Linked DNA regions of Elephas maximus indicus. The protein of the gene in region 1 interacts with the protein of each later gene in a pairwise test. Links are inferred from orthologs where the notes say so. Each region holds a gene or a part of one and is shown on either strand. Other genes may lie near its edges.

What was found.
Region 2: the proteins of ARRB1 (region 1) and GNMT interact in binary tests that used the Homo sapiens proteins (3 or more experiments, as listed by UniProt). The link is inferred for Elephas maximus indicus from reciprocal best matches to the Homo sapiens genes ARRB1 and GNMT.

The regions. Positions count from the first base shown.
Region 1 is NC_064825.1:47,147,238-47,163,035, forward strand, and holds the start of ARRB1 (beta-arrestin-1), read left to right. Parts: upstream 1-9,995; 5' UTR 9,996-10,222; coding exon 10,223-10,242; intron 10,243-15,798. UniProt on the Homo sapiens protein: Functions in regulating agonist-mediated G-protein coupled receptor (GPCR) signaling by mediating both receptor desensitization and resensitization processes.
Region 2 is NC_064819.1:107,372,785-107,389,053, forward strand, and holds GNMT (glycine N-methyltransferase), read left to right. Parts: upstream 1-9,672; 5' UTR 9,673-9,980; coding exon 9,981-10,186; intron 10,187-11,000; coding exon 11,001-11,128; intron 11,129-11,587; coding exon 11,588-11,704; intron 11,705-11,927; coding exon 11,928-12,070; intron 12,071-12,170; coding exon 12,171-12,292; intron 12,293-12,375; coding exon 12,376-12,547; 3' UTR 12,548-12,752; downstream 12,753-16,269. Other genes in the region: CNPY3 (protein canopy homolog 3), read left to right, coding at 899-1,021, 1,247-1,364, 1,666-1,889; PEX6 (peroxisome biogenesis factor 6), read right to left, coding at 13,169-13,305, 13,509-13,648, 13,765-13,842, 14,012-14,128, 14,599-14,707, 14,940-15,001, 15,129-15,334, 15,413-15,545 and 2 more. UniProt on the Homo sapiens protein: Catalyzes the methylation of glycine by using S-adenosylmethionine (AdoMet) to form N-methylglycine (sarcosine) with the concomitant production of S-adenosylhomocysteine (AdoHcy), a reaction regulated by the binding of 5-methyltetrahydrofolate.

The DNA.
Region 1 (15,798 bases):
TATATACACACTTAATGGTGTGACAGAGACTGGAGGAACCTCTGAAACTATAGCCCCGAGATGCTCTGTTAATCTGTTAATCCACAACTGAAACCATTGCTGAAGCCCACTCTTCAGACAAAGATTAGACAGGCCTATAAAACAAAAAATAATACACAAGGAACGTGCTGCTTAGTTCTAGCAAATATATGAGACCAAACGGGCAGTTCCTGTCCAAAAGCAGGATGAGAAGACAGGAAGGGACAGGAACTGGACGAATGGACACAGGGAACCTGGGGTGGAAAGGGGGGCACATGCTGTCATATTGTGGGGATTGCAACTAATGTCACAAAACAATATATGTATAAATTTTTGAATGAGAAATTAACTTGAGCTATAAACTTTCACCTAAATCACAATTAAAAAAGAAAAATATATATATATCATTGAATAAAATTAGTTTTATGTATTATATATAAAGCTAATTTTAATCTGAGATTAAATATATCTAGCTGTATATATATATATTTAAACCCATTGCTGTAGAGTCAATTCCAACTCATAGCAACCCTATAGGGCAGTGTAGGACTGTTCCATAGGGTCTCCAAAGAGTGGCTAGTTGATTTTTTTTTTTAAATAATTTCTATTGTGCTTTAAGTGAAAGTTTACAAATTAAGTCAGTCTCTCACACAAAAACCCATGTCCTTGCTACACACTCCCAATTACTCTCCCTTTTTTTTTTTTTTAATGAGACAGCCCACTCTCTCCCTCCACTCTCTCTTTTTGTGTCCATTTCACCAGCTTCTAACCCACTCCACCCTCTCATCTCCTCTCTAGAGTGGCTAGTTGATTTGAACTGTCGACCTTTTGGTTAGCAGCCAAGCTCCTAACGACTGCACCATCAGGGGATATATATATATATATAAAACCAAAAAAAAAAAAAAAATCAAACACATTGCTGTTGAGTCAATTCTGACTCATAGCGACCCTATAGGACAAAGTAGAACTGCCCCATAGGGTTTCCAAGGAGCACCTGGTGGATTCGAACTGGTGACCTTTTGGTTAGCAGCCACAGCTCTTAACCACTACATCACCAGGATTTATATATATATATAAATATATATTTAAATATACATATAAATCCTAATATATATAAATATATATTTACATATATATTTATATACAGATAAATGCTAATATGTATATAAATATATATATTCATATACATATAAATCCTAATATATATATATATATATAAATCCTGGTGGTGTAGTGGTTAAGAGCTGTGGCTGCTAACCAAAAGGTCAGCAGTTCGAATATATTTGTATACGGAAACCCTGCTGGTGTAGTGGTTAAGTGCTACAGCTGCTAACCAAAGGGTAGGCAGTTCGAATCCACCAGGCGCTCCTTGGAAACTCTATGGGGCAGTTCTACTCTGTCCTATAGGGTCGCTATGAGTCGGAATCGACTCGACAGCACTGGGTTTGGTTTTTTTTGGTTATATTTATATACAGCTTATTTTAATCAATGAAAACATGCATTCAGATACAGATACAAGGATTGCCTAAGTAATTTTAGTAGTAGTCATGTGACTGGGGCAGCCATGGATATGTCCGGGGTCTTCAAGGCAGAGATGTGCATGGAAGGCCCTGAGGGATTCACAGGTATCCTTGAGGTATTGGGACATAGTCTTTACTGTTAAGATACGGCACTTCTTAGGTCTCAGTGGAAAGCCTGAGATATTTACCAAGTTCCTATAACTTAGGGAGACCCATATGTCAAATTTTCTCTTCCCTGTGGTGGGGCAATCTCTGCAATCTCTGCTCAGTTATTTTGGCTTTCTAACTGTTGCTTTCCACTAGGCTCCTTGGAGTTATACCTTTGCATGTACAGTAAGAGGTCAGCCAAGGAGCTGAGAACAGTCTATATGGAGATTTTGTGGCTTATAACCCCTCTGTGGCTATCCCCCTTTCCTTCAATTTCTAACCATCTGTTGTTTTTGTTGTTGTTAGGTGCTGTTGAGTCGGTTCCGACTCATAGAGACCCTATGTACCACAGAAAGAAACACTGCCCAGTCCTGCACCATTCTCACAATCGTTTTTATGATTGAGCCCATTGTTGCAGCCACTGTGTCAGTCCGTCTCATTGAGGGTCTTCCTCTTTTCTGATGACCCTGTACTTTACCAAGCATGATGTCCTCCCCCAGGGACTGATCTCTCCTGAAAAACATGCTCAGAGTATGTAAGATGCAGTCTCACCATCCTTGCTTCTAAGGAGCATTCTGGTTGTACTTCCTCCAAGACAGATTTGTTCATTCTTTTGGCAATCCACGGTATATTCAATATTCTTCGCCAACACCACAATTCAAAGGCATCAATTCTTCTTCGGTCTTCCTTATTCATTGTCCAGCTTTCACATGCATATGAGGCGATTGAAAATACCATCGCTTGGGTCAGACACACCTTAGTCTTCAAGGTGACATCTTTGCTTTTCGACACTTTCAAGAGGTCCTTTGCAGCATATTTGCTCAATGCACTGTCTTTTGAGTTCTTGAGTACTGTTTCCATGGCTGTTGATTGTGGATCCAAGTAAAGCGAAATCCTTGACAACTTCAATCTTTTCTCCATTTATCATGATGTGGCTTGTTGGTCCAGTTGTGAGGATTTTTATTTTCTATGTTGAGGTGTAATCCATACTGAAGGTTGTGATCTTTGATCTTCATCAGTAAGTGCTTCAAGTACTCTTTACTCCGAGCAAGCAAGGTTGTGTCATCTGCATAATGCAGGTTGTTGAGTCTTCCTCCGATCCTGACGCCCTGTTCTTCTTCATATAGTCCAGCTTCTAGGATTATTTGTTCAGCATACAGATTGAATAGGTATGATGAAAGGATACAACCCTGATGCACACCTTTCCTGACTTTAAATCATTCGGTATCCCCTTGTTCTGTCCAAACAACAGCCTCTTGATCTTTGTACAGGTTCCTCATAAGCACAATTAAGTGTTCTGAAATTCCCATTCTTCACAATGTTATCTATAATTTGTTACAATCCACACAGTTGAATGCTTTTGCATAGTCAAAAAACCCAGGTAAACATCCTTTTGGTATTCTCTGCTTTCAGCCAGGATCCATCTGACATCAGCAATGATATCTCTAGTTCCATGTCCTCTTCTGAATCCGGCCTGAATATCTGGCAGTTCATGTTGATATACTGCTACAGCTGCTTTTGAATGATCTTCAGCAAAATTTTGCTTGCGAGTGATATTAATGATATTGTTCGATAATTTCTACATGCAGTTGGATCACCTTTCTCGGGAATAGGCATAAATATGGATCTCTTCCAGTCAGTTGGCCAGGTAGCTGTCTTCCAAATTTCTTGGCATAGATGAGTGAGCACTGCCAATGCTGCATCCATTCCTTGAAACATCTCAATTGATATTCCTTCAATTCCTGGAGCCTTGTTTTTCTCCAATGCCTTCAGAGCAGCTTGGACTCCTTCCTTCAGTCATTTTGGTTCCTGATCATATGCTACCTCTTGAAATGGTTGTATGTCAACTAATTCTTTTTGGTAATATGACTCTAAGTATTCCTTCCATTTTCTTTTTTTTTTTTTTCTTTTTGTTGGGTCATGAACTCTTAAAGTTAAAATGAAAGAGATGGACACTTGTAGGGAGCTTAACATTTACCCTAAGCCTCTGGTTCATACCTTTTTTTAAATCTCCAAGTAGAAAGTGTAAATTAATAAGAAACTATCGAATTTATGATACTTTGCTTATAAAGAGCTTAAATAAAAAGAAATGTGGGTATCTGTATTTGGGCATTTTGTAATTGACCAGGCAGTTCATTAAACCTAATGTACCCATATTTATTTTAGCCAAGAAAAATACACGTCAGGTCATACAAGAAAAAAATTTATATTCTCTTTATTATAGGTAGTAAAAAGGCAATATTATCTGAGGACTAATCCTCTGCAAAACTTCTGCATCTGACTTGGTTTTATAAACTTACTGTAGTGATTCATTTCTTCCCTTTCTCCAAACACCTGCCTAAAACCTACGTTCTTTCTCTCAACAAGCACGCTCTCCTACCAATGCACTCAGTAATTTCCAAATGACAGATCTGGCTAAATATTTTAAGTAACATAAAAACTATAAGAGTTAAAACTAGGTCCATTCTGATTACTTATAGATAGTTCACATATATTATCTCCAAGAAAAATACTGTTGTTGGTAGGTGCCGTTGAGTTGATTCCGGCTCGTAGTGACCCTATGTGACAGAGTAGAACTGCCCCGTGGGGTTTTCTAGGCTGTAATCTTTTTTTTTTTTTTTATAACTTTTATTAAGCTTCAAGTGAAAGTTTACAAATCCAATCAGTCTGTCACATGTAAGTTTACATACATCTCACTCCCTACTCCCACTTGCTCTCCCCCTCTTGAGTCAGCCCTTTCAGTCTCTCCTTTCTTGCCAATTTTGCCGGCTTCCCTCTCTCTCTATCCTCCCATCCCCCCTCCAGACAAGAGTTGCCAACACACTCTCAAGTGTCCACCTGATATAATTAGTTCACTCTTCATCAGCATCTCTCTCCCCGCTGCTGACCAGTCCCTTTCATGTCTGATGAGTTGTCTTCGGGGATGGTTCCTGTCCTGTGCCAACACCTTCCATTTTCTTTTGATGCTATTTTCTAGGGAAGAACATGCTGTAACCATCTGGTGGCCCCAAATTTGATCCTCTGATACCTCAAGTCACTAAGGCTGCAGCTTTCTATTTGAGTTCTAGCTTCCCTGTGCTGCACAGACTGAGGAATATCCTCAGGTAGAAAGCATATAAAAGTGGATTTCGCCCAGTAAGTTTCCCATCTTTCAAAGGTAGAGTTCCCTCCAGTTTTTGACCGGTTTTGTTTGCTCTCCAGAGCCTTCAAATATTGTTTTTTGTATTTTGTTCAAAGTTTATATTGTTAATGTTAGACTGATACAAGGTACTCCACTATTGCTGGAATGGGAAGCACTGTTTTTAAAAGCTACCAATTACTAAGGCAACCTGAACAAGAATATCTGACCCCTAATTGCACCTCCTAGCCCTGAGCTCTTACTGTAACTATTAGGAATCTACTCAAGCTGCATTTCCCAGTGACGTGCACATCTGTGTTTTTTTGGCTGCTCATTCTCTAAAATCCTTTCTTATTTTTGGAGAATTCTCCACCATATGTGTCCTCCCAGTACGGATGTCACAAATGCCAGCTACATAGTTTCTCAGTGTCCCTAATAGCAAGAGAAGGGTCATATGAACCTAGGCGGAGCCAATCAGATGCACTGGGGATATTGATTTAAGGGTGTAGGGCCAGCAAATAATCCATTTTGATGGCAGAGGCCATATCTAGTTTCTGGGGCAGCAGTGGGGTAAGGTTGGTGCTGGCAGTAGTGGGGGTGTGAGTTGTGTCCATTGTTCAGCAGAGGAGCTGCCCGAATATCTTGCCAATAAATTCGTTTTATGCTTAAGCCAGCCAGAACTGGTTTTTGCTGATTACAAATGAGAACCTTGAATTGTTCAGCTAACGATAAATACCAATGATTCCACCACAAGGAAATGGGGAATGGAATCTTGTTAGACAAACCTAAAACAGCCCGAAGCTGCCCAGTCTCTGAGCCTACTTCCTTAGGATATGGTTGCCATCTTTCTTCCCAGCCCCTCCCCCACCCTCTCTATGCTTTGGCCACAGATCGCTCTGAATTCCCCCAATGTGTCATGCCCTTTCCTTCCTCCCTGGCTTTACAGCTGTTATGTGTCCTCTCCCTGAAAGGCAGTTACCATCCTTCCTTAATCTGCTGACTTTGCCTCCTAATTGGTCTCTTCTCCTGCAACCACTCTGGCTTGGGTCCAATTCATTCTTCACACAACAGCCAGAGTGATCATCTCAAAACACGTGTCTGATCATGCTACTGCTCTGCTTAAAATCCTTCGAACACTCTTCATTGGTCTTCGGTAAAGATCATATTCCCTAGCATGACACTTCAGGCTCTGCATGGGCTCTTGCCTGCTTCCCAGCTTTACCGAGGAATATTTACAAGGGAGAATTCTGGGACTGGGTTGCTACGGATTGAAGTGGGCAAGGGAGGTGTCCAGGATGACATCCAGATTTGCGGTTGGGGCAGAGGTGGTGAAGGTCCTTAGTTTCTTATCTACTAACATCTCAAAGGGCTGTCAACCTCAAATCCTTTGTTGAACAAGGAGCTGAAAACTCATCCACTTACCCATCCACCCACCTATCCATCCACTCTTCAATCTGACATTCAACGACATGACCAGGTAAGCAGATGCTTTGGGTTTGAGCCCAATCTTTACCTTTCATTTACTATATCATTGGCCTAGGCCCTTTCCCTCTTAAAGCCTCTGCTTTCTCATATATGAAGCAGGAATAATACTTCATTTCTCTCTCTCTTTTTTTGGGTAAGGGATTATTATTAAGTGGTAAATTTCAGGCATATGTCTGGCCCAAGTTGAGACATAGTCGGAGATGACCAACTCCTATGGACCTCAGTAATAGAATCCTTTTGCCTTTTAGAAAAATCACTCTGGTGTTCAGCTAGAGGATGTATTAGAAATGGATTGAGATGGGAAGGAAGGAGTACTCCAGTCCTCACAACCTCACTTCCCATATGTGGGGATGTAGCCTGTGTGGACGCTGGAACAAACAGGCCCTGCCCCAAATCTCTGAGTCATTTGGATTCTCCACAGTCCACTGACAACGCCTCAGCAGGTGCTGTTGGCTCTGCCTCCAAATATATCTGAACTTCTTACTTCTTTTCATTTCTGTGCCACCATACTAGCCCAAACCACCACCCACTCTTTCTTGGCTACTACAATAATGTGGCGCCCTGTATCTGCTCTTGTCTCAATCCAAGTTGTATCCATTCAACAGCCAGAGTGACCTTTAAAATGTAAAGCAGATACTGTTACTCCTGCCTAAACCCTCCACTGGCTCCCTGACTCCTCACCCGCACCTATAAAGCATTACCTGATCTGACCCCCGCCAGCTTCTGGTCTACCACTCCTTCCTTCCCTGTTCACCCAAATCCAGCCACATAGTCCTTGTTCTTGCCCATTAGAAAGGCCAAGCTTTTGTACTTGCTGCTCCTTCTTCCTGGGAAGCTCTTCCCTTGACTCTTCACATCGCTGGTTCCTTACCTACAGGTTTTAGCCCAAATGTCATCTCCTTGAAGAGCCTTTCTGTAAGTACACTGGCCCCCAGGCACTCTATTTTATTACCATTTTATTTTCTTCATAATACTTATTACTGTCTTAAATCATGTTATTTATATTTATAGAGTTCTCCTCAATGTCACTATTTTTAAGTGTATATTAATTTTGATTTTACAGGTAATACCAGAATACATTCTCCATAGAGCCTGACATATTATCAGGAGGGATCAATCCCTGAAGACTGACATTATGCTCGGTAAAATAGAGGGCCAGCGAAAAAGAGGAAGACCCTCGATGAGATGGATTGACACAGTGGCTGCAACCATGGGCCCAAGCATAGCAATAATTGCCAGGATGGTGCAAGACCAGGCAGTGTTTTGTTCTGTTGTGCATAGGGTCACTATGAGTCAGAACAGGCTCAACAGCATCTAACAACAACAACAACAGAGCTTGACAGGTAAAGCAAAATACTCTTCTTACTCCTCTTCCCCCAGCTTAGATTCCTCATTGAAATGAAAGCCGCATTTGTCTTCTTGGCCACTGATTTTTAAGTTCCTAGAACCATGCTTAGCACATAGTGGGTCTTCAATAAACTGTTATTGAATGAAGAATAAATTGTGGGTTAAATTCTGGTCTACTATGTATTAGCTCCGTTTTGGGGAGGGCACAAGGAAGGGAGGTCCAAAGGAGGCTATGGACTCAAGCAAATTACTTAGCTTCTCTGAGCATCCATTCACTCATTTATAAAATGGGGAAAAGAATATTTATTTCACATAATTTTGAGCCTCAAGTAGTGCCAGACACACCATACACCCCCTCATGAAGTTTACAGGCTAGTGGAGATGTACTGGAAACCTTGACTGTTGACTCCATAGTCTGCCAATCTGTTCAATGTCCCTACAATGCTAGAGTCAGGCTTCTCAAACCGGCTGGAAAGAGCTGTTCTGGATTGGGTGTGGGGGCGGGGAGCCCAAAACCATCTGATGCATCTTCCTAGACTGTTTATTTTACTTGAACGTAATTAAAAATGTGATTTTTGTAGTAAAATGAACATAAGTATTTATTGAGTGGAATTAAGAATTTGCCTGACAAATGTATTGCATGCATTTTTATAACAATTAAAAAAAAAAAAAAAGTCAGGAAAAAAAGTCTGCCTGAATTTTTAAATAAAGTTCAAAGGTGCTTTAGCATCAGCATGGGGAGAGCCACTGGAGACCATGTGGTTTGGTCGAACCCACGCTTTAGAAGTGGGGAGCTTGGGGTGCAGAGAGTGGTAAGACCTGGCCTGTGCATCCTGTTAGGGTCCTCTCTGGCTCACCCAGTGAGTCTCTTGTCATCATAGGAGAACTATGGTCTGCTGTTCTCAAGATTCCTGACCCCTGCAGAAACAGCAGGGGCTTCCCCTTCTTTCTCTTTGGAAGGAGAATGGGGCCCAGAGGTCAAGGCCTGGAGGAGGGTTCTAGGCCTAAGTGCACACTCTCCTTGCACCTAGCATTGCCTGGAGCCTGGACCACCCTGCCTGCCCATCAGTTCACCCCTCCCAATCTAGACATAATTATGGTAATTATACTGGGATATCATTACCCAACTATATATAAAACCAGCATAGGTAACTGCTTCTGAGCATAATTACAGGAGATGTTTACAGACCCACAATCGCATCAGAGTAAATGATAGCTTCCTTTCCTCCCACTAATACGCCAATATTAGGGACCCATCAGGGCCAATTAGCCAAATCCCAGCAGAGCGGGGGTGGAAAAGACCTCACACTCTCCCACTACCTACAAATCAGGGTCTCAGCCAGCCATTTCCCTGGACACCAAGAAGTCTGGAGAGGGATGAGCCAACATTTACTGGGTACCTACCGTGTGCCAGGCCCTCAGGGGGAGTCCGGCAAACACAAGCAAATTTTTAAAATCTATGAACAATTCTGAGGGACAGTATTGGTATTCCCACTTTAAAGATTTGGAAGTTGGCACTGAGAGGCCTGTTGTCCAGGGTCACCAACAGCTGGTGGTGGAGCTGGACCAGAGCGCCTTCCACGATGCTACCGGGCCAGGCCAGCCTCCTGGCTCGCAGCCCCGAAGGTTCTTTGCTCCCTTCACATACTCCTTATCTCCTCCTCTCACAGCTTCCTCTTCCCGCTGCCCTGCTCGCCTCCCGCCCCCTTCCACCCTCATCAGTTCCCCAATATCGATGTTGTTTTCGCCTGCCCTCTCTGTCCCTTCTTCCTGCCTCTATTGGGTGGTTGGGTGTTATCTCTCAAGTAGGGGGTTGCATAGGGCGAGGGCCTTGCCAGGCATGCGGAGTCTCAAGCCAATTCCCTTCACCCCCGCCGGGGGGCGCCGCCAGGGGCTTGGCCCCGGGGTGCGCCGACCTTCGGCTTCCACCCACAAGCACACACAAAGGCTGTCTCCAGTGTGCGCGGGACAGCTCACTAGTACCCACGGCAGTGCGTACACACGCACAACTGCATGAAGACGTGCACACTCCTCCATCCACACAAATACACTCCCAAATAGGCCCGCGCACACCGCCGTGTCCACGCACTGCAAGGCGGCATATACTCTCGTGTGCACACACCGCACACATATACCCAAGCCGGCGTGTATCTTCACGCACACACACACGTACGCGCACACAGTTGGGCACGCACCCTTGTATACCGGCAAATGCAGACCTCGGGGCCCTGACGTGTATCGCTGCCCTGCCCTCGCGGCTCTCTGGGCGGTGCACGCGCGCGCGCGCGCGCGCACACACACACACGCACGCACTCACACACAGATACACACACGCACACACACACACACGGACAGACACACCCCGGTCGGCTCCACGCCCCTGGCCGCGGCCCGGGCTCTGCGCGGCGCGGCGCTGCTGGGCTGCAGGCGGGGACCTGGACGAGGGCGGGGGAGGAGGCGGTGGCCGGGCGAGCAGAGGAGGCGGAGCAGGCAGTCGGGAGCGGGCTGGCCCGCACTCCTCCTGCCGGCCGGGGATTTTCCAGCCGGTACGCTGAAGCCGTGGACCTCCCTGCCGCCGCCACGGACCATGGGCGACAAAGGGACACGGTGAGTGCTATCGGTGGCCTGGTCTGGCGCGCGGGGGGGGCGGCCTAGGCGATAGCAGAGGCGAAGGTTGTAGTCCGCGTCCTGGCGCTGCGTTTGCAGTCACTCCAGGACCGCTGACGCCTGAGTCCGCGGGACCCTGCTCACCTCTGCCAGGGGTCTCTTGTGTGGTCACTGGCAGGGGCCGCAGGCGGGGGTACCCAGAGGGTGAGGACCGGGCCGCCCCAGCTGCCTCGCGGCTCCTTACCGAAACACACACACACTCACTCACGCGCTGACACCCAGCCCTGGCCAGGCAGGCGCAGAGACGCATGGGGGCAGGTTGACACACAATGGCACACACTCATGTGGACACACGGGGCACACGCACTCATGGGCACACTCATGACAGCACACACAATGACATCCACTGTCACACACTTATCACATATAGTGACACACTGTCACACACTCCCAGATACACACTGTGGTATACATTTGGCAACACATTCATGCTGACAGTCATGCTGGCATAGGTGGGTACACACCTAAACATAGAAACATTAATACCTCATGCTGGCGCACAAACATTGGCCCTCAGTGACACACATGCACACTGTCACTTGCACTCACTGTAATACTTTTACTGGCACACGCGTTGTCACCCTCACTGACCAGACACACCTGTGCTAGCACAGATCTCACCAACACGGTGGAACGCAAGACCACACCAACACTGACCCACACAGACACACGTCAGACTGATGCCCACACAGACTGGCACCCCATAGGCACCAGCAAGCGACCACGGGGCTGCTGACACACTCCCTCCAGTCCCCACATGGTAAGAAATGGAAACACATATACATCACACAGGGTGGGGGCGCCTCGCCTGGAGCCTGGGAAAAACAGGTCCTATGGACTCTTTTCCTTTCCCTCTGACCTCCTGAGGCCTGGGGTGGCTGGCCAGGATCTGTTTTGAGCTAGAGATGGGGAGAGGGGCTCCTAGATAGGAGCCTGCCCTAGAAGATTAGACTAGGAACCAGAGAAGTTATGCATCTGAAACGGGAAACTGGGACAAAAGGGGCAGGGGCGGGGGCTGGGGCAAGGTAGCCCCTGGGAACAGCCCTGTGGGACCAAGACAAGCCCTGGTCTGGTATTCAGCTTTGTCACCCTGCTTCTATCTCTACCACTCTTTCCGCCCCCTTAGGTTCTGCTAGCAGTCTCTCCCTTGTCTCTTCCTCTTTCCTACCCCTTTTTGCTACTTGGACTTTTTCAATTGTCCCTTCTTTACCTTCTATCCCCGGTCCCACTTCTCCCCCCCTCCTCCCTCCCTCCATTCTCTTTCCCTCAGCCCTCCCTCCCTCTCTCTCCTTCTTTCCAGCAATTATTTATTGAGAGCCTACTGTGTACTAGGCACAGTGTGGGGTCAAAGACTTGCAAGATGCATTCCTTCCCGGAAGGAGCTAACGGACTAGAGAGAAACCGCACTAGTGGTCGTCACCTTCCGGACCACTGACAAAGCAGTTTCTTACCCACTGCCTTCTGAGATCTCAGTAGCAGGAGAAAGGTCCTACAGAAATTATTTCCATTTTCTGGAAGAAGAAACTGAGGCTCAGAGATAACTTATCCTTTTAGTGTTTAGAAACTGCTTCTCCACCATTCTCCTGACAGCTCTTCCAGGAGGTTAATTTTCCTTTTCCCGTTTTCCAAAAGATGAACTGGAGCATTAGAGAGGTCACCTGGCTTGCCTAAGGTCAAGAGGGGTCAGAGGCAGGGTAGAGGCTGGAACCCACCTGCTCTGTTTCTCTGTGGCTCCCTTTTGGGCATTGCCAAGCCCCTCATGGGCCCTGGGTTGGGGAGACAGGGTGGCGTACCTTGCTCTGTGTGTGGGGCCCAGGCTTATGGGGGAAGCTGCGAAAGGTCACAGAGCATCTGCATTCACCCTGACGGCTACTCTCCATCAAAGAAGGCCTGGCCAGCACTGTGTCCAGCTGTCTGTCCTCAGCAGGAGGGTGTGTGACTCCTGCGTTCTCCCTGCAGGACACAGTGGGGGCCAGGAGTCATAGCTCCTGTCCTGTGTTCCGCCAGTGCTGCTTCATGATCAGGGTGATTCAGCCCCTCTTGGGCCTTGGTTTGCCTCTTGGTGACTTGGGGAGAAGTGTCATTGCTCCCCTGCTGGCTTGTTGGCAGAATGCGTTCACCATGAGCAGTCAGGCCCCAATGGGCACCTGTTGGAGACCCTGTCTCTGGAGCCAGGGCTTTTTCCATCACTCCTCCACTGTGCCTCTAATTCGGTACAGAAACTCGGGGACCTTGGGCAATTGCCTTCAGCTTTCTGGACCTCAGTTTTCCCATCTGTAAATTGGAGCTGTGAATTGTGCTTATTGAGTTCACAGTGTGTGGATTCCTTGCGCTTACTGAATCCACTGGGAGGAAAGATGGCCCTGACTGAAGTCTAGAGCCAAGGCCTGGCTAAACTCCACCAGATGATCCTCCCTTCAGCCACCACCACAGTCCCAGGAGGCCTCTCTCTCCCTTTCCAGACAGGTAATCTGAGTAATTTGGTAGAAAAGGGCAAAATCAATAATGGGCCATGCCCTGCCTTGTTTCCTAAGCCTTAGGATTCTACTTGATGACTTAGAAGAGGAAACTGCCAATACCCAATACTCTAAGGATCAGGAGCCATCACGTGCATCCCTCTGCCTCAGATTGCACCCCCTGTATGAAAGTGACAATACAAATTAATCAGAAACTGCCACTGACCTCTAGGAACTCCCAGGACCAAGGGTGAAAGAGACAAAGACCTGAATGGGACTAATCCAGTGTAGCTATTATGATGATTGCTATAACAAGGTGCTCTGAAACCAATCATACATTCTTCCAACAAATGCTGACCGAGAGCCTTCTGAGTGCCAGGGCCTGGGGTTCAGAGATGACTGACTCCATCCGCCTACAAAGCAGGTGATTATGATGCAGGGTGACACGCACCATGGAAGGCCTAAGGATGAGTCCCCAACCCAGACCTGGGCAGCGGGCATGGTGAAGGGAGCTTTCCTGGGAAGGAGGTGGCCTTGGAGCTACTGAGTTCGTCTAGAAGGATAAGGGGGCCAGGGGGTAGGACTGGGGCCGTCACTCCTGGCTGAGGGTACAGATGTGTAGAGGCTTGGAGGCATGAAACAACAAGTGCAGCCTGGGGGCTGGGCTGGGGGTGGTGGATGGGCCTTAGGAGGTAAGCACAGGCCAGTCACCCGCTGCCCGGAATGTCAAAGTAAGGAGAGAGAATTTTCTCCTGAAGTCAGTGGTGATTCAGAGAAGAGTGTGAGGCAGGGGAGGGATAGGAGCAGATTTTTGGTTCAGAGAGATGCCTTTGGCAGCAGCATGGAGAGTAGATGGGAGGGGAAGGCTGGAAGCAGGGGACCAGTGAGGAGGGTGGGGAGGAACCTGAGAGAAGATGAGATCTGAACTAAGGCTCTGGGCAGGATGGAGCTGAGAAGAAATATTAAGAAGGTGGAATCTGTCAGTCTTGCTTGTTGACTGGACTTGTGGTGGGTCTCTGGTATGTGTCAGGAGATTTATATGCATAATCTCATTTGATTCTCCCAATGATCCAGTTAAAGTAGGGATTGTTGTTCCCATTTTACAGACAAGGGACAAACTAGGAGAGGCAAGATAACTTGCCCATTGTCATTCAGCCAGTGAGGGTTGAACCTAGGCCTGTCTGTCCACAAAACTATCTGCTGCTCCACACTTTTGTCCCAAAGGAGGGGAGCTTGTCTGGTTCACAGTTGGCCTACCACTGCACCCCTAGCCTCAAGTTGTACGTCCCTACTGGGATGTTTCCACCAACTCGATTGGTAGCATGAAGGATCAGATTTAGACAGCAGGAGGAACTTCCTGAGAGGCAATGGGATGGACTGGAATTTCCTTTCCTGCAGATGTTTATGAATTCTTCTTTTTTCTGGGAGAGGGGAAGAGTGCGGGTGTGATGGGAACATGTAATCACCAGCTCTCTGTGAACCTTGGCTGTCGTCTCTCTCGGTGGTTATGTCCAGTGTGACCCATCTGGGCTGCAATATGGGGAAGTCCTGTGGCTTTGGCCAGAGTTGCTCCTGGGGCTACTAGGAGCAGGAGCATTGAGCCTGGCCCACTGTATCTGATCCCCAATTCTGGCTGGCCTCTGCACTTCAGACTTCTCCATAGCCCTCTTTCTTCCAAGTTTGGGCCTCCTTGCCAAAGCCTTCCCACTAGCATGGGTTTTCAGGGATCCCAAGCCTTGGGCTTGCCAAGGTGAGCTGGTTACAGCTCACCTCAGGGCTGTGGTATTGGAGGAACAGGCTGGGTGGGAGTCATGGCCTCCTGGCCTCTACCAGGCCACCCTCTACTGATGCCAGAGTAACCATGCTGACTACCTCACTAGGGCCTACAGGGAGGGGCACGTTGGTGAGGGAGCTAGGGCAGCCAGCTTTAGGCTGTTGGGGAAGATACAGGGAGGCAGCTGGATAGATGGGTCTGGATCTCAGGATAGGAGTCAGGGTGGAAGACAGGGATTTGAGTCTTCAGGGTAGAGATGGCAGCTGGCTTCGGACAGTGGATGACATGGTACAGGAGAGCGTATAAAGTACATAAAGAAGATGGTCAGGGACAGTGGAGGCCTTGGATAGAGCAGATAAGATACAAAGGATTCCAATAGGAGGTAGAAAAGGAGCATCCAGAGAGGTAGGAGGCAATTGAGGGGAGGCTGTGTCCTGAGAGCAAAAAAGCAGGGAAGGACCAACAGTGGATGAGCTTGAGAAAGGCCCCTGTAATTTAGCCAGAAGGCAGTCACTGGTGACCTTGGTGAGAGGGATTTTGGTGAGGGTAGAGCCGGACTGCAACAGGCAGAGGAGGGGGAGAGGCGAAAGGACCCCCTTTCTTTTTTTATTGTGCTTTAGGTGAAAGTTTACAAATCAAGCCTGTCTCTCATACAAAAAGCCATACACACCCCACTGTGCACTCCCAGCTGCTCTCCCCTTAATGAGACAGCACATTCCTCCTCTCCACCCTGTACTCCCCGTGTCCATTCAACCAACTCCTGTCCCCCTCTTCCTTCTTATCTGGCCACCAGACAGGAGTCACCCGCATAGTCTCGTGTGTCTACTTGAGCCACGAAGTTCACTCCTCACCAGCATCGTTGTCTATCATATAGGACAGGACCCTGTTTTTCTGCATGCCTGGAGCTGGGGGTAGGCCTCTTGGAGGCAGGGTGTGCGGCCCTGGGCTGGGGGTGATGGGGATCTGGGAGGGGCCATCCCATCCACCCCCTCTTCTGCCTGTGGCCTGTGGCCTGAGGCAGAAGCCTGCTGCCTGCATTCCTCCTAGGCTCAGCACAAAAGACTCTAAAGGTAGTGGTGGGGGGGACGCACATCAGGGGCAGTGTGAGTTGGTCACAGGGCAAGGCGGTGCTGAGCTCTGAAAGGAGGGGCATCTAACCCTGGTTGGGGGCCTTGGGGAAGGCTTCCTGGGGGAGGTGAACCCTGAGCTGGATTCTGGAGCCTGAGGACAGCCTAGGTGGGCGAGGGTGTTCTGGACAGAAGGACG
Region 2 (16,269 bases), on another chromosome or scaffold:
GCACATGGTAGGAGAGTTGCCTTCACATTTTTCCACCAAGTATCCTCCCCCACCCCCTGCAAAGGATATTGGTCATAAACCCCTAGGGGATCTCAGGGTGTAATCTAAAATGGTAGAAGTCTTAGGTCTTATCTTTAAAATGTGTGTGAATTTTGTGCTGTAGTTGGTACTAAACCCATGTTTGAAACATATAAAAATGTTTAAAATTACTTTCCACAGCAAAAGATTAGAAACAACCTAGATTTTCTCCAGTAGTAGTGGAGTAGTTGAATTAATGGATATAACCATTTGATGAAATATTATGCAGTTATAAAAAAAAGAATGAGGGAACTCTTTATGAACTGAACCAAAACTATCCCCCAAATATATTGTCATGTAAAAAAATCAAGGTGCAGAATCTTGTACATGATACGCTAGTGATTGTATAAAAAGTGTAAAAAGGAAGGATATATTTGTATGTATGTGTTCCCGTTTATTGTATGAATTAACTCTGAAAAGATAAAGGAGACATAACATGTTGTCTCTGAGGAGACCTAGATAGCTAGGAGAGATTTTTAACAGAATAAAGGGTCTTCCCTGCCCCTGCTGTGCCCTCTTCTCACCAAGGAAAGTCACAAGCTCTAGGAAGAAGCCAGAGTGGCTTAGACATAGGGAAGTGAGTATGCCCAGCCATACAGAGGGGAAAGGGCCAAGACTAAATTTATTTCCTGGAAAAGGCTAAAGGTGGAGCCTGAGGGCAACAGTAGATCTCTTTAAAAGGAGACCATGTGGGGAGGCAGGATGTGTGTGTGTGTGTGTATGTGTGTCTGTCTCTCTTCGGGCTTCCATCCCCACCAGGAGAGGAGGGAGGGATGTAGAGAAGGTGGCCCTGCCTCCCATGTCTGGCCACCCCTTCCAGGGCATGTCAGAGACCTTTGAGACGCTACACAACCTGGTGCACAAAGGAGTCAAGGTGGTGATGGACATCCCCTACGAGCTGTGGAACGAGACCTCAGCAGAGGTGGCGGACCTCAAGAAGCAGGTACAGGCCCTTCAGCTCTCGGGGCTGGGTGGGATTGGGTCTGTGCCTGAGGAAGGCCACCAAGAGCTGGGTGACTGGTCAGGCCATTTCACCTCCCAGGCTTCAGAGTCCTTAGGAGAACTGCAGCCACCTGCCATCTTGCAGTGGGTTGTGAGGCTCAGTGAGCTCATCTGTGAGGCAGCCCGGTGCTTGGGCTTTGCCAGCGTGAGGCATTGTGATTAACAGTGCGACGTGATGGTGGAGGAGTTTGAGGAGGTGATCGAGGACTGGTACAGGAACCACCAGGAGGAGGACCTGACAGAGTTCCTCTGTGCCAACCACGTGCTCAAGGGAAAGGACACCAGTGAGTCTGAGGGGAGGGAGAGGGTAGGCGAATGGTCCCAAAGGATTTTCTGGTTTGCTCCCCCCCTCAGGGAAGGTGGGTAGGGAGAGGATGGAAAGGGAATTGCGGATGTCACAGGGCACGGTGAGATAAGAGGCACCAGGTGCAGAACAGTGGATCACGCAGATGCCCCCAGGGGGCCTGGTGGACACAGTGAGGGAGGAGGTGGGTGCCAACTCCAGTTGCTCCCCAGTCAGTGCTTCTCACCCAGGAAGCCACTCCTGAGGTGCCTCTGTTGAGGAATCTTCCCTCCTCACTCCAGGTTGCCTGGCAGAGCAGTGGTCTGGCAAGAAGGGGGACACGGCTGCCCTGGGAAGGAAGAAGTCCAAGAAGAAGGGCAGCAAGGCCAAGGCCTCAGGTGGCAGGAGCAGCAGCAGCAAACAGAGGAAAGAGCTGGGTGACCTCGAGGGAGACTCCGGCCCTGAGGAGGAGGAGGGCATCCAGAAGGCATCCCCACTCACACATAGCCCCGCCGATGAGCTTTGAGCCTAACCCAGCATCCCCTGTACCAAGGGTGTAGCAAGAGACCCCTGACCTGGAAGCTAAAGAAGCTGGGGCAGGCTCTGGCAAGCAAAGGCGGCTTCTCCAGCCCCAGGGTCCTTCCTGCCTCAGCTGTGCCCTCTTCCCGCCAAGGAAAGCACAGCCCCAGGAAGAACTCAGAACAGTAGCGGTTAGCCTGAGCCGGTCTTATCCCTCAGCCAAGCATCTCTCCTGACATGGGCTTGACCAGGCCATGTGGTTTCAGGACTGCCAAGGACTCTGATGTAAACTCAGGAGGGGTGGGGGTCTGAGCTGGGCACCAGGACTGGAGCCCACAGGAGGCATGCCCAGCCTTCAGTCCCCATGCCTTACCCTACAGGGGAGCAAGACTGCAGCACCCATAGCTCCCCTTCCCTGCTAACCCTGCCCTGGGGACACCTTACGCTCTTCTGGCCCTCTTCCCTGGGGCTCACAGTACAGTGTGCAGAGTAAAAACCTCTTGGCCTTTTTTGTCCCGATTTCTGAGTCCTTTTCAACCCCTCAGGAGTGCCCTGGAGCCCCTTGTTGCTCCTTCCTGGCCCTCACCTTCTCTCAGCCGCCCCCATCCTCCCACTGGAGGCAGAACCTACCAGCTGTTGGGAACAGCAAACACAGGGAGGGCCCAGGGTTATTTTGGGGCCTGACCCTGTCCCTCAGCTGAACCTCATGCCCTGGGCACTTGCTTGCCCTCTTTCTCTTTGCTCCCTCCTCTCCTGCCTGTCCTTCCCCAGGGCCTTCCCATTTGTTGTGTAAAGTGTTTACTGGTTATCCCACTGGCTCCTGCCTCTCCCTCCCACCTCCACGTGGCCCTGCCTATTGGTCTTGGACCTTGTTCCTTGATGACCACACTTGAGCACTCTGCTCTTCCCAGCTGGAGTCTGAGGGGAGGACACCCCAGTTCCTCAGCAACACCTCTTGGTTACACTATGTTCCCTGGGGCCAGGGGAGGAACAAAAGGCTGGCCTGTGGGGAGAAGGGGTGGGAGGCTCAGGTCCCTCCCCTGTCAGTCCTGAGGTCAGGGATCAGGACAGTTGTGAGCAGTAGCGATGACAGTTGTATGTCTTCCCAGTGCTTCAATGTACTTGTGGTCTTAAGCCATTTTGTAGAAATTAAGGCTGAAGTCAAGTAAAGTGCCCAAAGTCCTACTACTTGGGGACAGTGGTACAAGCAGACATAGGTTTTCACCTTAGAAAGATCTATTGTATTTCCCACTACTTCACAGCTACCAGGGTCTCTTCCTAACATCTAGCACTGAAACTAATTCATTTTGAACTGGTTTGGTTTCTTGGGCCTAACTCACCACCTACCAACAAGGCTCTTTTAAAAGGAAAGTAGGAAGCAACTGTTGCTTCTTGGAAAGAATCAATGGCAAAGGCCCCGTGGAGCTGTGCCTTCACAGACAGAGGCCAAGACTGAGACTCCACCTCCCACTTTCCCTGTCTGGGCCCAGCAGGAAGGAGTTCTGCTGAAGACTCTCAGGGGTTTAGTAAAGAGGCTTTCAGGTCTCAGTTACTGTGGGTGAGGGGGCCTGCTTAGCCCCGCTTCCCCTTCCTCCAAGTTAAGGCAGTCTTGACCATGGAGATTGGAGCAAACTGGCTGTGGAGGCTTAAAACTAGGTCCTTGGAGGAAGATACTTTTTTCATCTAGACCCCCACCGCCTCATCTCCGGACCGATACTGTCCACTGTTAAAGATGCTGGTGGGCAGTGAGATCCAATCTAGAGCCAGGTCCCACCCCCCCCCCCGCCCCCGGACTTTGCTCTGAGCATAGGAGATGGCTGGGGTGGGGTGGGGGCTGGAACCCAGGGTGGGCAATCATTTGCAGCCCCTTGGACTGTCTAGGATTCGGTGGCCTGTCCCTGATACCCGCCATTCTGTCACTAACCCACAGCATTTCAGTGCCTGGTTTGCCTCTGTCCCTGGAGTTTCATTGATTCTGAATGTAAGGTAGAATGGGGCAAAGGCCTATCGCCTTTCCCAGGGTGTTGGCCGCATGGGCCAATCCTCAGGACAGGCAGCGCTGTCTTGCTTTGCTCTTTGACCTGTGGCTGCGGGATGACAAGCCCCCTCCCCCTCCTGAGGGCCAGGTGTGTTGTACACTCACTAGCTCTGCACCCAGCCCACCCCAGCAGAGGCAGAGGCAGGATCTGACTTCCCAGGGTTTTCTTTTCCTATTCCCACCATACATACAAGTCTTTTTTGAACTTGGCTAGTAAGTCCATTTTCCCACATTTCTTCCCTTCCATAAGGTGAGGGTACTGCCTGAGCCTGAGTTAATCTGATCTCAGTCCCCCTACTAAAACAGTTTCCTAAACTTGCCTGGACATGAGAGTCACCTGTTAAACATACAGACCTCTGGACCCACCTCAGTCCTGCTGGGTTGGAGACTCTGCATGCTTAACAGGCATCTCTGATGGTTCTGACATAGCCCGCTGGGACCCACTTCAGGCAACATTTGGCAGTGTAACCTGTTGCTGACAAGTTGATTTTGACTCATGGTGACACCATGTATGTCAGAGTAGAACCGTGCTCCATAGGGTTTTCAATGGTAGGTTTTTCTTCCAAGGCACCTCCGAGTAGACTCCAACCTCCAACCTTTCAGTTAGCAGCTGAGCACATGAACTATTTGTACCACCCATGGACTCCAGCATTTGTCAACCCCAGGTGTTGCCCTAAGATGGGGCTTTGATGAAGTCACACTGGGCCAGGGTCTTGTCCTCAGAAACCCAACTTCTCAGAACCCCAGATTGAATCCATCTTTGTAGGAGATTTCCATCAGCCAGACTCCCAAAGGCAGGTGGACAAAGCACAGGCCAGTTTATACCCGTTCAGTGCTTAAAAGAACCACAGGCAGGGATACAGTCAAGTCTCAAGGGCTAGGTTCTAGTATCAGCAGTGGCACCTCAGGGCCTGTGTGTGTGAATTTTAAAGGGCAGTGCCTAAAAGGCAGGCTTCACTCCTTATCCCAGTTGCTGGGTGGCGTTTCCATGCAGCGCCTTTGCACAAGTTAGAGAAAGATGCTCTTTACACATTTGACTTCCATCTGTTAGAAGGTTGTTTAAATATGTTTTGTTAGAATAAGACACTGTTTGCCAGAAGATTATAATTATATAATAATAAGTACACAAGCCTATAAAGTTGGCAATGTGAATGGAGCCCTTTAAATGTGGAGCCCTTAAATAAAAATGGTTAAAATGGGAGAAAAAAAAATGTGGAGCCCTTGCACAGTGTACAACCTGTCCCGATGTTTACAGCTGCCCTGCATCACTATAGTGCCCAAATAGAAACAAAATTTACTCTCTACCTCACCTAGATCTGATGGCATGTACTAAGTCACATGTTTCAATGAGCAATGTTTAACCTGTTGCCAGGGCCTGAATAGTATATCTTTTTTAATTGTGGCAAATATGTAGGTAGCAAAATAGTTGCCATTTCAACACTTCCCATGTACAGTTAAGTGACTTACGCTCATCATGCTGATCAACCATCACCATTTATCCGGAATTTTTCCATCACCCTTAATGATTAGTGTACCATTTTTATGTTGAAAAACAGTGAGCAGTCCCCTGGATACCAAAGAGAGATTAATGGTGGTTAAAAACCAAACCCGTTGCCCTCGAGTCGATTCCGACTCATAATGACCCTATAGGACAGAGTAAAACTGTCCCATATGGTTTCCAGGGAACGCCTGGTGGATTTGAACTGCTGTCCTTTAGGTTAGCAGCTGTAGTTCTTAACTACTACGCCACGAGGGTTTTATAATGGACGTTAAACGTTAGTACATCTTAAAACTGCTTTTAGCAACGTGTGACATGGTCAAAGAGAACCTGTCCTCATACATTGGTGAAATTCTCAGAGGTGCATGAAGTATAGTAGTAATGAAGGCACCATTACTAGTGTTACAACCCACTGATACAGGGAATCTATTTTACACTTAACCAGACTTAGATCAGATTGAGCCTTATATGGTACATAAAAAAGTGCCAAAACGCACCCACTGTGATAATTCTGCTGGCAGAGTCCATGCAGGGGGGCAGCTTCCCTTCCCTCCCCTCCCCCAGCATCCAGTGTTCAATCTGGGTTGACAGTGTCAGTGGAGAAGAGCTTTTTTCAGCAGCTTGGACTGAAGTTAGGTCCCTGTGTGAGGCAAACGCTTTGCACTTGACTGCTAACATAAAGGTTAAACTTCAAACCCACTCTGTAGCACCCCGGAAGAAAGGGCTTCTTCTGTAAAGGAGAGTTTTGCTCTGTAACACATAGGGTTGCCATAAGTTTGAATTCAGTGGCAACGAGTTTAGTTTTTTTTTTTTTATTTGGACCGAAGTTTGGAATGTGACATCCATCATCTGAAAATGAATATCTACCTGTTCTAAATAAAAAACATCCAAGATGTCTTTCATTTGTAGCTACTGCACATACATGAATCACAATTCAGGATTTTAATGTGTCCTCAGGGAGGAATTGCTTTGGAATTTGTCCAGGTGCAGCCATAGTCCCAAGCTAAAGTCTTTTTGCATACATATTAAATATTTGGAGATGAAGAATTTAGTCTTTTCAGCCAATTCCAAATAAGTTTTGCATATTTCAAATATCACCTATTTTTATTTTCAATTAAGTCAAACTAGATTGATTTCTATATTTGAATGTTCAAAACTTGGGGAATGATTAAGTCACAACGCATCCCCCTCAATGGACTGTTACATGGACATTAAAAAGGTGCTTAAGGCCAAGCAATTTATGGTCAAGAGAAGAAAATACACTTTTGATAGTTTAAAGAAAAAAAAATTGAAGAAAAACATGAAATTTCATGTAGACTATGATCTCAACATTTTGTTTATTTTTAAAATACATCTAGATGAGAAAGAAAATCATTAATTTGGGAACTAAAATCTTTGAAATAGAAGGTACTCACAATCCATAATTTTTTCAACCCTAACTTACCACCAGCATTCATATTATTTAAAAAATCGCATTATGGCCTTGGGGGTAAAAAACTATGTTTCTCAAAGTGTTAGGCATCAATACTTAAAACCAAACATTTAAGTCAGATTCCTTATCAGTATGGTGAGTGCATGGCTGCAGGCCAATCACAACATGCTGTACAAACATTAGGAAGTCTGAGGATTACTCCAAAATTTCAAACAGCTCTCAGCTTAAAAGGAAAAGACTGAAATAGTTTCTAGACATGGAAAATCTTGCCCTAGAGGGGGAAATCACATTACACCAAATTAAAAAGCAAGATGCTTAAATAGATGTTCTAGATGACCTTTTTTTTTTTTTTCCTTATCTAGATGAAACAAAATACTTTTTTTTTTGGAGCTAGTTTTATCAAAACCCTATGGGTTGGGACTAATGGACCACATCTACCACAGGCTCCACCAGACTGAGTCCAGTGCAACTAGGTGGTGCCTGGCTACCACCACTGACTGCTCTGACAGGGATCATAATAGAGGGTCCCGGACAGAGCTGGAGAAAAATGTAGAACAAAATTCTAACTCAGAAAAAAAGACCAGAACTTGCTAGCGTGACGCAGACTGGAGAAACCCTGAGAGTATGGCCCCCAGACACCCTTTCAGCTCCGTAATGAGGTCACTCCTGAGGTTCACCCTCCAGCCAAAGATTTAACAGACCCATGGAACAAAACAAGACTAAAGGGGCGCACCAGCCCTGGGAAAGGGACTGGAAGCCAGGAGGGAACAGGAAAGCTGGTAATGGGGAACCAAGGGTTGAGAAGGGAGAGCGTTGACATGTCATGGGGTTGTTAATCAGTGTCATGGAACAGTGTGTGTACTAACTGATGAGAAACTCGTTTGTTCTGTAAACTATCTAAAATACAATAAAAAAAAAATACAAAAGCTATGGAGCGCAGTTCTGCTCTGACACACACAGGGTTGTCATGTGTTGGAATCAACTCTGTCACCTGGTTGGTAGTTTTATCAAAGAGTTTCTAAATTGGATCTTCTTTGGCAATTTCCAGGTGAAAGAGTGGACAGAGATGTCTGCTACAAACAATGCTCTTCTCCCAGGCTTCATTAGTTATATGAATATCCCAAGGAGAAATGTCACAGGAATACTTGCCCGTAAATATTTAGACCCAAAGAACCTGGTAAACCTTAACAACCTGTTGATGAGATGATCCTGGTCATTCTAAAGGTGACATTTCTCAACAGCTTTTGAGCCCTGAGAAAATCCCAGGTTTACCTCAAATGCATTAGAAGGGTAAAAGAGTGACCCTCCTGCCTATTTCGGCATTCCTTTCCCAGACAAAGCAAATGGAAGAGAAAACAGTATGAGAAAAAATAATGATGAATTGCCCTAGGCTACTTATACTTAGTTAGCTTTTCAAATATTTTATATTCAGCCAATCCATATGTGGACAGTGATAAATTATTTCTCTTGTCATTTTGGTTGTTATTCCTATTTAACGTCATTACTCATTTTTCCCTGAGTGGACTTACAGAACTCCAGTGAGATGAAATTAAATATTTTTTTTCTTTTAATTTTAGGCCTGTTTTTCCTTAAAATTTCATTTCTTATGATATGACAAAATTGTTAGCAGATTTTAATGCTGAACTCGTCCATTTACAGCCAGATAATCAATTACTTTTCTCCTGATTTAGGGCAAAATAAATGTGAAGCTTTTTTTAAGTAAAGAATGAATTTTCCTACCCAAGGAAGGCACTGATTTTCTTGGATAGGCCTCATACTTAAAAAAAAAAAAGCCAGCCACTCAACTGCTTTGATTTGAGGTCATAGCACACAGATTGCTGCCCACAACTGAGAGAATAATTCTTTTAACATGAGTTTTTTTTTTTTAAGCCTGGGGGTGATGAGGCGGACTTCCCCCAGAATATTCTGCTAAGAGAGTAACTGAGTTTACTTGCACATCCCTACTACAATGCCTTTCTTAGCCTGTTGCCAAAGACCTGGGTCAGCGTGAGCACAAGGCTCCTTGACTTGAACATGGATAGACCTGTTTGAGGCAGTTCACATAAAATAGAAAGTTCAGAATGATTTTGGGGGTTCATCCAGCTCCGAGATTCTACGGAGGCTAAGGTGGTTAGGGGAAGGAGCCTCCTTTGCTCTAAATTCCGTAACTCTTTCTGCAGCCAGAAGAACAAAGTCAGGTAGGGAGGGCTGTTCTCCATGTCTCAGGCTTTGCTGGGTGGCATCGTCTTAGGGAATCCACATCAGCCCAGGATCTTGTCCTCCGAAGAGAAGCCTACTGCTCTGGGGAGGAAGGGTGGGCTTACTGTAACCAAACCAAAGGACCAATATATCGCTCTGGCAAGAAGCGATAAAATAGCAAGAGCTCCAATCACCCTCACCCCTGACTCCACACTTCCCTCCCTGCGGGCACCTCCGTGAAAAGCCGATGGTCTTTTTAAGGGCGATAGGAGGGGGAAGAATAGGAAGGAAGCCACCAGACTCCAGCATAGGTGGCTCAGGGAAAAGCTTAATGCGTCACCTACACCACAAAGGCACACTGGCCTCCAAGGGGGCGGGACTATTCCTTGGGCCAGGGCTCTCTTTTCCTGGACTTGGATGGACAGACTTCCTATTTTCTCCCTTTCCTAGGCCCTTTCCACTGGGCAGTCTTTCCTTAGACATGCTGATACTTCCTTCGCTGGGGACGGTCCCCACCTGCCCCCCTGGGCGCTCAGCTCTGTAAATTTTGAAGTTGGAAATTTCTTTCCCTTTCTATCCAGCATGGGTGCAGATGGAGTGAGCAATCTCACTGGTCCCCTCTCCCAGACCCTCCCCTGTCCTCCTGGCGACCACGTTAAGTGGGAAGAGGGCTGGGACTGCAGGAGGGTCATTTCCCGCTGTGGGAGTGACCAGAGGGTTGGGTCCTCAGCCTGACAATAAGGGCCGGGTCAAGGATTCGAGGCTGCACCCTCTTCACCGCCTGGCAGCCGACGCCGGGGCCAGAGCCCAGCAGGGGCGTATCCCGAGCTCACCTGCCATTGGCAGGTGGGGTCGCCCGGCCCCGGCAGCGGCAGCGGCCACGCACGCTATAAGTGCGAGCGAGTGGTTGCCGCACTCGGCGTGGCGCAGGATGGTGGACAGCGTGTACCGGACCCGATCCCTGGGGGTGGCGGCTGAGGGGCTCCCGGACCAGTACGCGGACGGGGAGGCCGCGCGCGTGTGGCAGCTCTACATCGGGGACACCCGCAGCCGCACGGCCGAGTACAAGGCCTGGCTGCTCGGGCTGCTGCGCCAGCACGGCTGCCAGCGGGTGCTGGACGTGGCCTGCGGCACGGGGTGAGCCCGGCGGGCTGGTGGGGGGCGCGGCGGGGCGGCTCGGACCACCGCCGGGCACGTCCGGGCAGCTCCCCCTCTGTCCCGGCAGAACGGGCACGAAGAGGACACGGGGGGAGGCCGACCATAGAGGGGCGAGAAGAGAGGGCTTGAGTGAGGGTGCGGGCGCAACGGTGGGCCGGGCGGGAGGGCTCCCGGGGCGGTGGAAAAGCCCCAACCGACGACGCCAAGTTCAATCCTGGCTCCTGCGTTGTTCCTTGAGCGTTGGTTGGCCTTGGGCAATGTTATCAAATAACATTTGTTCATCGTTGGCCAGTGCCAAGTGCTGTCCCGGAGCTTTTGACACATCAGTTTTTAAAATCTCGCAAAACCCTATGAGGTAAGCAGTGAACTCCCCATTTACAGTTGGGCACATTAAGTCTCAGAGAAGCAAGGACCCCCATGTAGTGGAGAGGTGAAGGGTAGTGAGGTTGGTTAGGGTCTGGCTGGCGTGTGCATACTAAACTGCCTCCTCCTGTGCCCAAGTTAATTTCCCCTAGCCTCAGCTTGCCCATCTCTAAAATGGAGACACCACCTCACAGGGTTGCACATTTGTTGAGTGCCTGGATCTGAATAGGTGATAAAGAAAAAGTTGCTACGTGGTGATAAGCAGATTTGTGAGCTCATCTGAGGTCGGCAGAGAAGGCCCAGGAAAAGGAAGCAGAAGAATGGACTCTGATGGGTTGAGGAAGCAGAGATGTCCAGCACAGGGATTCCTCCTTGTCCTCCCAGCCCCCCTGACTGCCCCTTTTTGCCACTCATCCCCGGCTCTGCCCAGGGTGGACTCCATCATGCTGGTGGAAGAGGGCTTCAGCGTGACCAGCGTGGATGCCAGTGACAGGATGCTGAAATATGCACTTAAAGAGCGCTGGGACCGGCGGCACGAGCCTGGCTTCGACGAGTGGGGTATGCCGGGTCAGCCAAGCCCTCCCCAGCCCAGCTATCAGGGACATTGTTCTCTCTGCCCTGGGCTCCTTTAGTCCATGGATGGGGTGTCCCACCCCCAGGGGGACAGTAAGATCAGAAGAAAAATTACTGTCACTTGCCAGATAAGGGAGGGTTAGGCATTAGAAGAAGGACAAGGCGTGAAGAGCTACCTTAACTGTGTTTATTGTGTCCTTTACCTCCCCCCATGAATGAAAACCCATAAGCACGGAGTCCTCTTTCCCAACTATGCCCTCCTCCTCCCCTGGCCTCTCTTCCTGCTCACCCTCCATGTACATAATGATCCCCTCCCCCTAACAGAATGGGGAGTGCCTGTTTTGAAGAGGAAACAGAGGCAAGACTGCATTTGTTGGAGGTGGGTGCTACTGGTACCATGTAAACTGTGTTACTCTGGTTCTTCTTCACCTTTTTGGCTCCCAGTTATTGAAGAAGCTAACTGGATGACTCTAGACAAAGATGTGCCCCAGCCACCAGGGGGTGGCTTCGATGCTGTCATTTGCCTTGGAAACAGTTTTGCCCACTTGCCAGACTGCAAAGGTGAGAGAGGGTGTGGCCTTGGGCATGGTCCTTGCCCTGAGCTATATCCCTTTCTATAGATCCCTGCCCTGGGTGCCTGCTTTCCTGTAAAGTGGATTCTTTGCTTTGCCCTTCTCTGCCTTGGCACTGGTACCCCTGGGGAGGGAGAGGGAGAGATGGGAGGGAGATGGGTGCTGGAGGGTCCTGAGCAGACGGAGCCTCCCTGCCCCTGCCTGGAGCTCAGGGGACCAGAGCGAGCACCAGCTGGCACTGAAGAACATTGCAAGCATGGTGCGGTTGGGGGGCCTGTTGGTCATTGACCACCGCAACTACGACCACATCCTCAGCACAGGCTGTGCACCCCCAGGGAAGAACATCTACTATAAGGTGGGTCTCACTGGGGGAGGAAGGCTCAGAGTGGGAGGTGTGATCCAGGGGCCCCACCGTGGGCTGCAGAGGCTAATACTGTCTGTACCATGGCCTGCAGAGTGACCTGACCAAGGACATCACGACATCGGTGCTGACAGTGAACAACAAAGTCCACATGGTGACCCTGGACTACACAGTGCAGGTGCCTGGGGCCAGCCAGGCTGGGTCTCCTGGCATGAGGTACCCACAGGGCTAGGCAGGGGTGTGAGGGGGGGGGATAGCTGGGCCACCTGCCCTCAAGGTCTCCTGGGGCTCTGTTGCAGTAAGTTCCGGCTCTCCTACTACCCACACTGCCTGGCACCCTTCACAGAGCTGCTCCAAGCAGCCTTCGGGGGCAAGTGCCAGCACAGCATCCTGGGTGACTTCAAGCCTTACAAGCCGGGCCAGGCCTATGTTCCCTGCTACTTCATCCACGTGCTCAAGAAGACAGACTGAGTGCAGCCGCAGCTTCCACAGCCCTGAGCCCAGGCACTGCCGGGCTGTCTGGGACGTGGGCACAGACAGCAGGGCAGATACCGGGGGTGTGGGGAGGGGCCAACTACAGGTGGGCATAAAGATTTGAATTCAGGCAAACGGAAGGGCTAAGAATAGAATCTGTGCCTTTTTCAGTTCCCATATGCCTTGTGTTTATGTCAGAAGGATCAGGCTCCTATGGTACCCACCCCTGCACGCCTGCCCCTAGGGTTTACTTCTCTCACCACATGGCTCTGTGCCTTATGAATCTTTCACCAAATGACACCAGCAGAGGGCAGCATATACTTTATTTTCAGCCTCGGATCTGGCCAATCCCCAGAACCCCAGGCACTGGCCCCTCCTCCTGAGCAGATTGACCTCATGGAGCTGGCCTGGGAGGAGGGACAGGTAGACAGGGCATGCCTCTTGAGCTCTTCCTGGTACTCCCAATGCCACTCTACCCTAGGGGAGCTCCTGGAAGTAGGCAGCCTTCAGGTGGGTGGGAAATAGCCTGAGAAGAGCCTCTTCCTTCCTCTCAGGTCTCTGTGGGGATACTGAAGCACCTTTAGCCATTGTGGGTGGGTCCCGGGCCACAGGAGGCTCCTAGCAGGCGGCAAACTTGCGCTGGATGCGCTTGTACCGGAGCAGCTCCTGCTCGCTGATGGAGGGTTGCAGCCGGGCGGCAGCCTGCAGTAGGTCCTCCATAGTGAGCTGCAGTGCTGGGTTCCCCAGCTCCAGCCCTGGGAAGTGACAAGGGCCAGTCAAGGCCAGAGTCCCCATGCCAGCTGGGGAACAGATCTATGCCCAGGCAGGGAGAGTCCTGGTGGAGGCACCTTCCTGTCCAGAATCCCCCAGATGTAAACGGTCCCTCCTCTGCAATCCAGAACCAGGCCTGCCTTCCACCTGCTTTTTGGCTGACTTCTGGGGCTGGCGAGTGGCTCACCTTCCTCCAAGTCCCGAACCCTGCGTTTGAGGGCAGTTGTCATAGCGTCAGAGCAGAGGGAGTAGAGGTCAGCGCCCGTCAGCTGGGGAGGGCAGTGATCCAGCACCCTCACCAGGCTCACAGTGGGTTCCAGCTTGAATCTGTGGAGGGGAGACAGGAGACAGCATTATCGCTGGCATCGCCTACTCCTTCAAAAGCTCGCCAGCTAGTCTATCCCAAGGCCCGAACCCTTTGGAAATCTTCTAACAGGGCATACTTGCGTGTGATGGCGCTCAGAACCCGCAGCTGGGAGGCCCTGTCCTCGCTCGCGCCCACAAACACCAGCTTGTCAAATCTTTAGGGAGACAGGTAGAGAAGGTCAAGTTCCTCCTCCCTCAGGAGCCTAGGCTGGCATCTGCACCAGGGAACCCCACCATGAGGGGTGGAGGAGATACAGGGTGGGGGTTGAGGGACAGGCCCAAATGGGGGTGGCCTGGTGGACGTGAGAGGTATGGGGTACCCACCTGCCAGGCCTCAGCAGGGCAGGGTCCAGGAGGTCTGGCCTGTTGGTGGCTCCGATCACAAACACATCCTGAGTGCTGTGAAGCCCATCCAGCTCGGCCAGGAGCTGAGACACCACCCTGGAAAGGAGGAAGAGAAGGCTGGAGAGCCCTTGGTCCTGTGTGCCTCTTGTTACCAGTTTTCTCAACAGGGCCTTTTGTTCAGTCATGCCCTGCACATCCCTCCATGCAGGCCCCCATTCTCCCTCATGTCCCACACCCAACAACAATGCCCTGCTTTTAGCCTCCGCTATACTATCTGAGGAAATCCTGGTGGTGTAGTGGTTAAGCGCTACGGCTGCTAATCAAAAGGTCATTCGAATCCAGCAGGCACTCCTTGGAAACCCTACGGGACAGTTCTACTCTGTTCTATAGGGTCACTATGAGTCAGAATCGGCTCGATGGCAAGGAGTTTCGTTTTTTTTTTTACAGTATCTGAGAACCAGAAGGACAGGAACTTGTATCTTTGGGCTCTGGTCCAGAGTTGGCTGTGACCTGTCTCCCATCCCTCCCATTCTAGACCCCAGATCCCATTCCTGCTCAGACCCCACCTGTCCATCACTCCTCCAGAGTCTCCACTTCGCCCCCGACTTGGGGCCAAGGAGTCCAGTTCATCAAAGAAGATGACACATGGAGCTGCAGCCCTGGCCCTGGCAAACACTGAGGGGAGAGAGAAGGCCCATGGGAGGGGGAAGTTCACGGGGGTGGGGCTTGAAGCCAGGGCAAAGAAGGAAGGAAACTGAGGTTTGACCATTCATCCCCAGCACTCCAGGTACTAGACTCTGCTGGGCAGGAACCCAACTTGTGGAATGGCGGACTAGAAACCACCATGAGCAGCCTGGGGAAGTGGGGCAGGGAAGCAACACAGGACTACCAGGGTTTGCTTGCTCACCTTCCCGCACGTTCTCCTCACTTTGGCCCACGTACATGTTGATGAGTTCTGGTCCCTTCACGCTGAATGAGAGGATGTGAGAGGTGAGACTTGCCAGATGCAGACACATACAATCGCCCTCTCGGGCCACCCCTCCCAGCCTGCTACAGCCCCCAGCCCACCCAGCATCCCTTCTAGGCCCCTGGCCACCTGAGGAAGGTAAGGCTGCACTCAGTGGCCACGGCCTTGGCCAGAAGGGTTTTGCCAGTGCCAGGGGGCCCATGCAGCAGGAGGCCTGAGCGCCTGAGGCCCAGGCTCAGCAGCTCAGGGTGCTCCAGAGGGAGCTGGATGGTCTCCAGGATCTCCTTCTTCACCTCCTGCAGCCCGCCCACATCGTGCCAGGACACCGAGGGGATCTAGGAGACGGAGGGTGCATGGCTGGGGATATTCTGGAGGAGGAGCTCCTGCCCCACCTCCAAGGGCCTGGAGTCTACCTTGGGGGCGCCCACAGCTTGGGAGTGTGCTGCCTGCAGCTGCTCCAGCGCCTGCCCGAAGTCCTCTGCCAGGAGGGGGAAGCCAGCTACACACAGCTCCCCCTCATCCTCCTCACTCCAGCCACCTGCCAAACTGCAAAGAGAAACTCAGGAAGCCTCTGAAAGACCTCACCTAAGGCCTCCTCCCCACCAGGGTCCTGTTCCCTTCTCCCTTCCTCGCCAGGCCCCAGCCCATATTTCCTCTTGCCTCCTTCCCCACCCTGTGCCAGAGTTTCCTTACCCTGAGTTCTTGATCCTGGTGCAGGCTGCACGGCTGCTATGGGTCAGAAGGGCATAGAGATCCCCCACCACAAAGCCCTGGGGAACCAGAGGAAAGGGCAGATGAGCAGGGTACAGTAGGTGGGAACCTTTGGGGGATGTGGAAGTGGTCCCCCTGTCAGCAGCAGAGGCCCAGCGTGGATGCAGTAGGGTTTTCTACCCCTCCGCTTGCGGGGTGGCAGGACTGAGTTCCTGGGACAAGGAACACAGGGAGGCCCAGCACCCTGCATGGTACTCACGGCACACCGCCGTGCCAGCTGGGCCAGGTTCACCTCTTGGCCCAGGGGCAGGTGGGCAGTGAGAGCCTGCAGGATGCTGAGCCGCTGCCCCTCTGTCAGCACAGGCACCTCCAGCTCGTGTGGGAATGCTGTCTGCACATCAGCAGGCAGGTCCCGGGCCCGGCTTGTGGTGGCCACAACCATCAGGGGAGGGCAGCTACACAGAAGGCAAATGGGCGCTGAAGGCAAGACCGTGGCTGGCAGCTCCTGAGCACTGCCTCATCCTGAGGCTGGTGCAGAGGGTGAGGGTGTTGAGGTGGG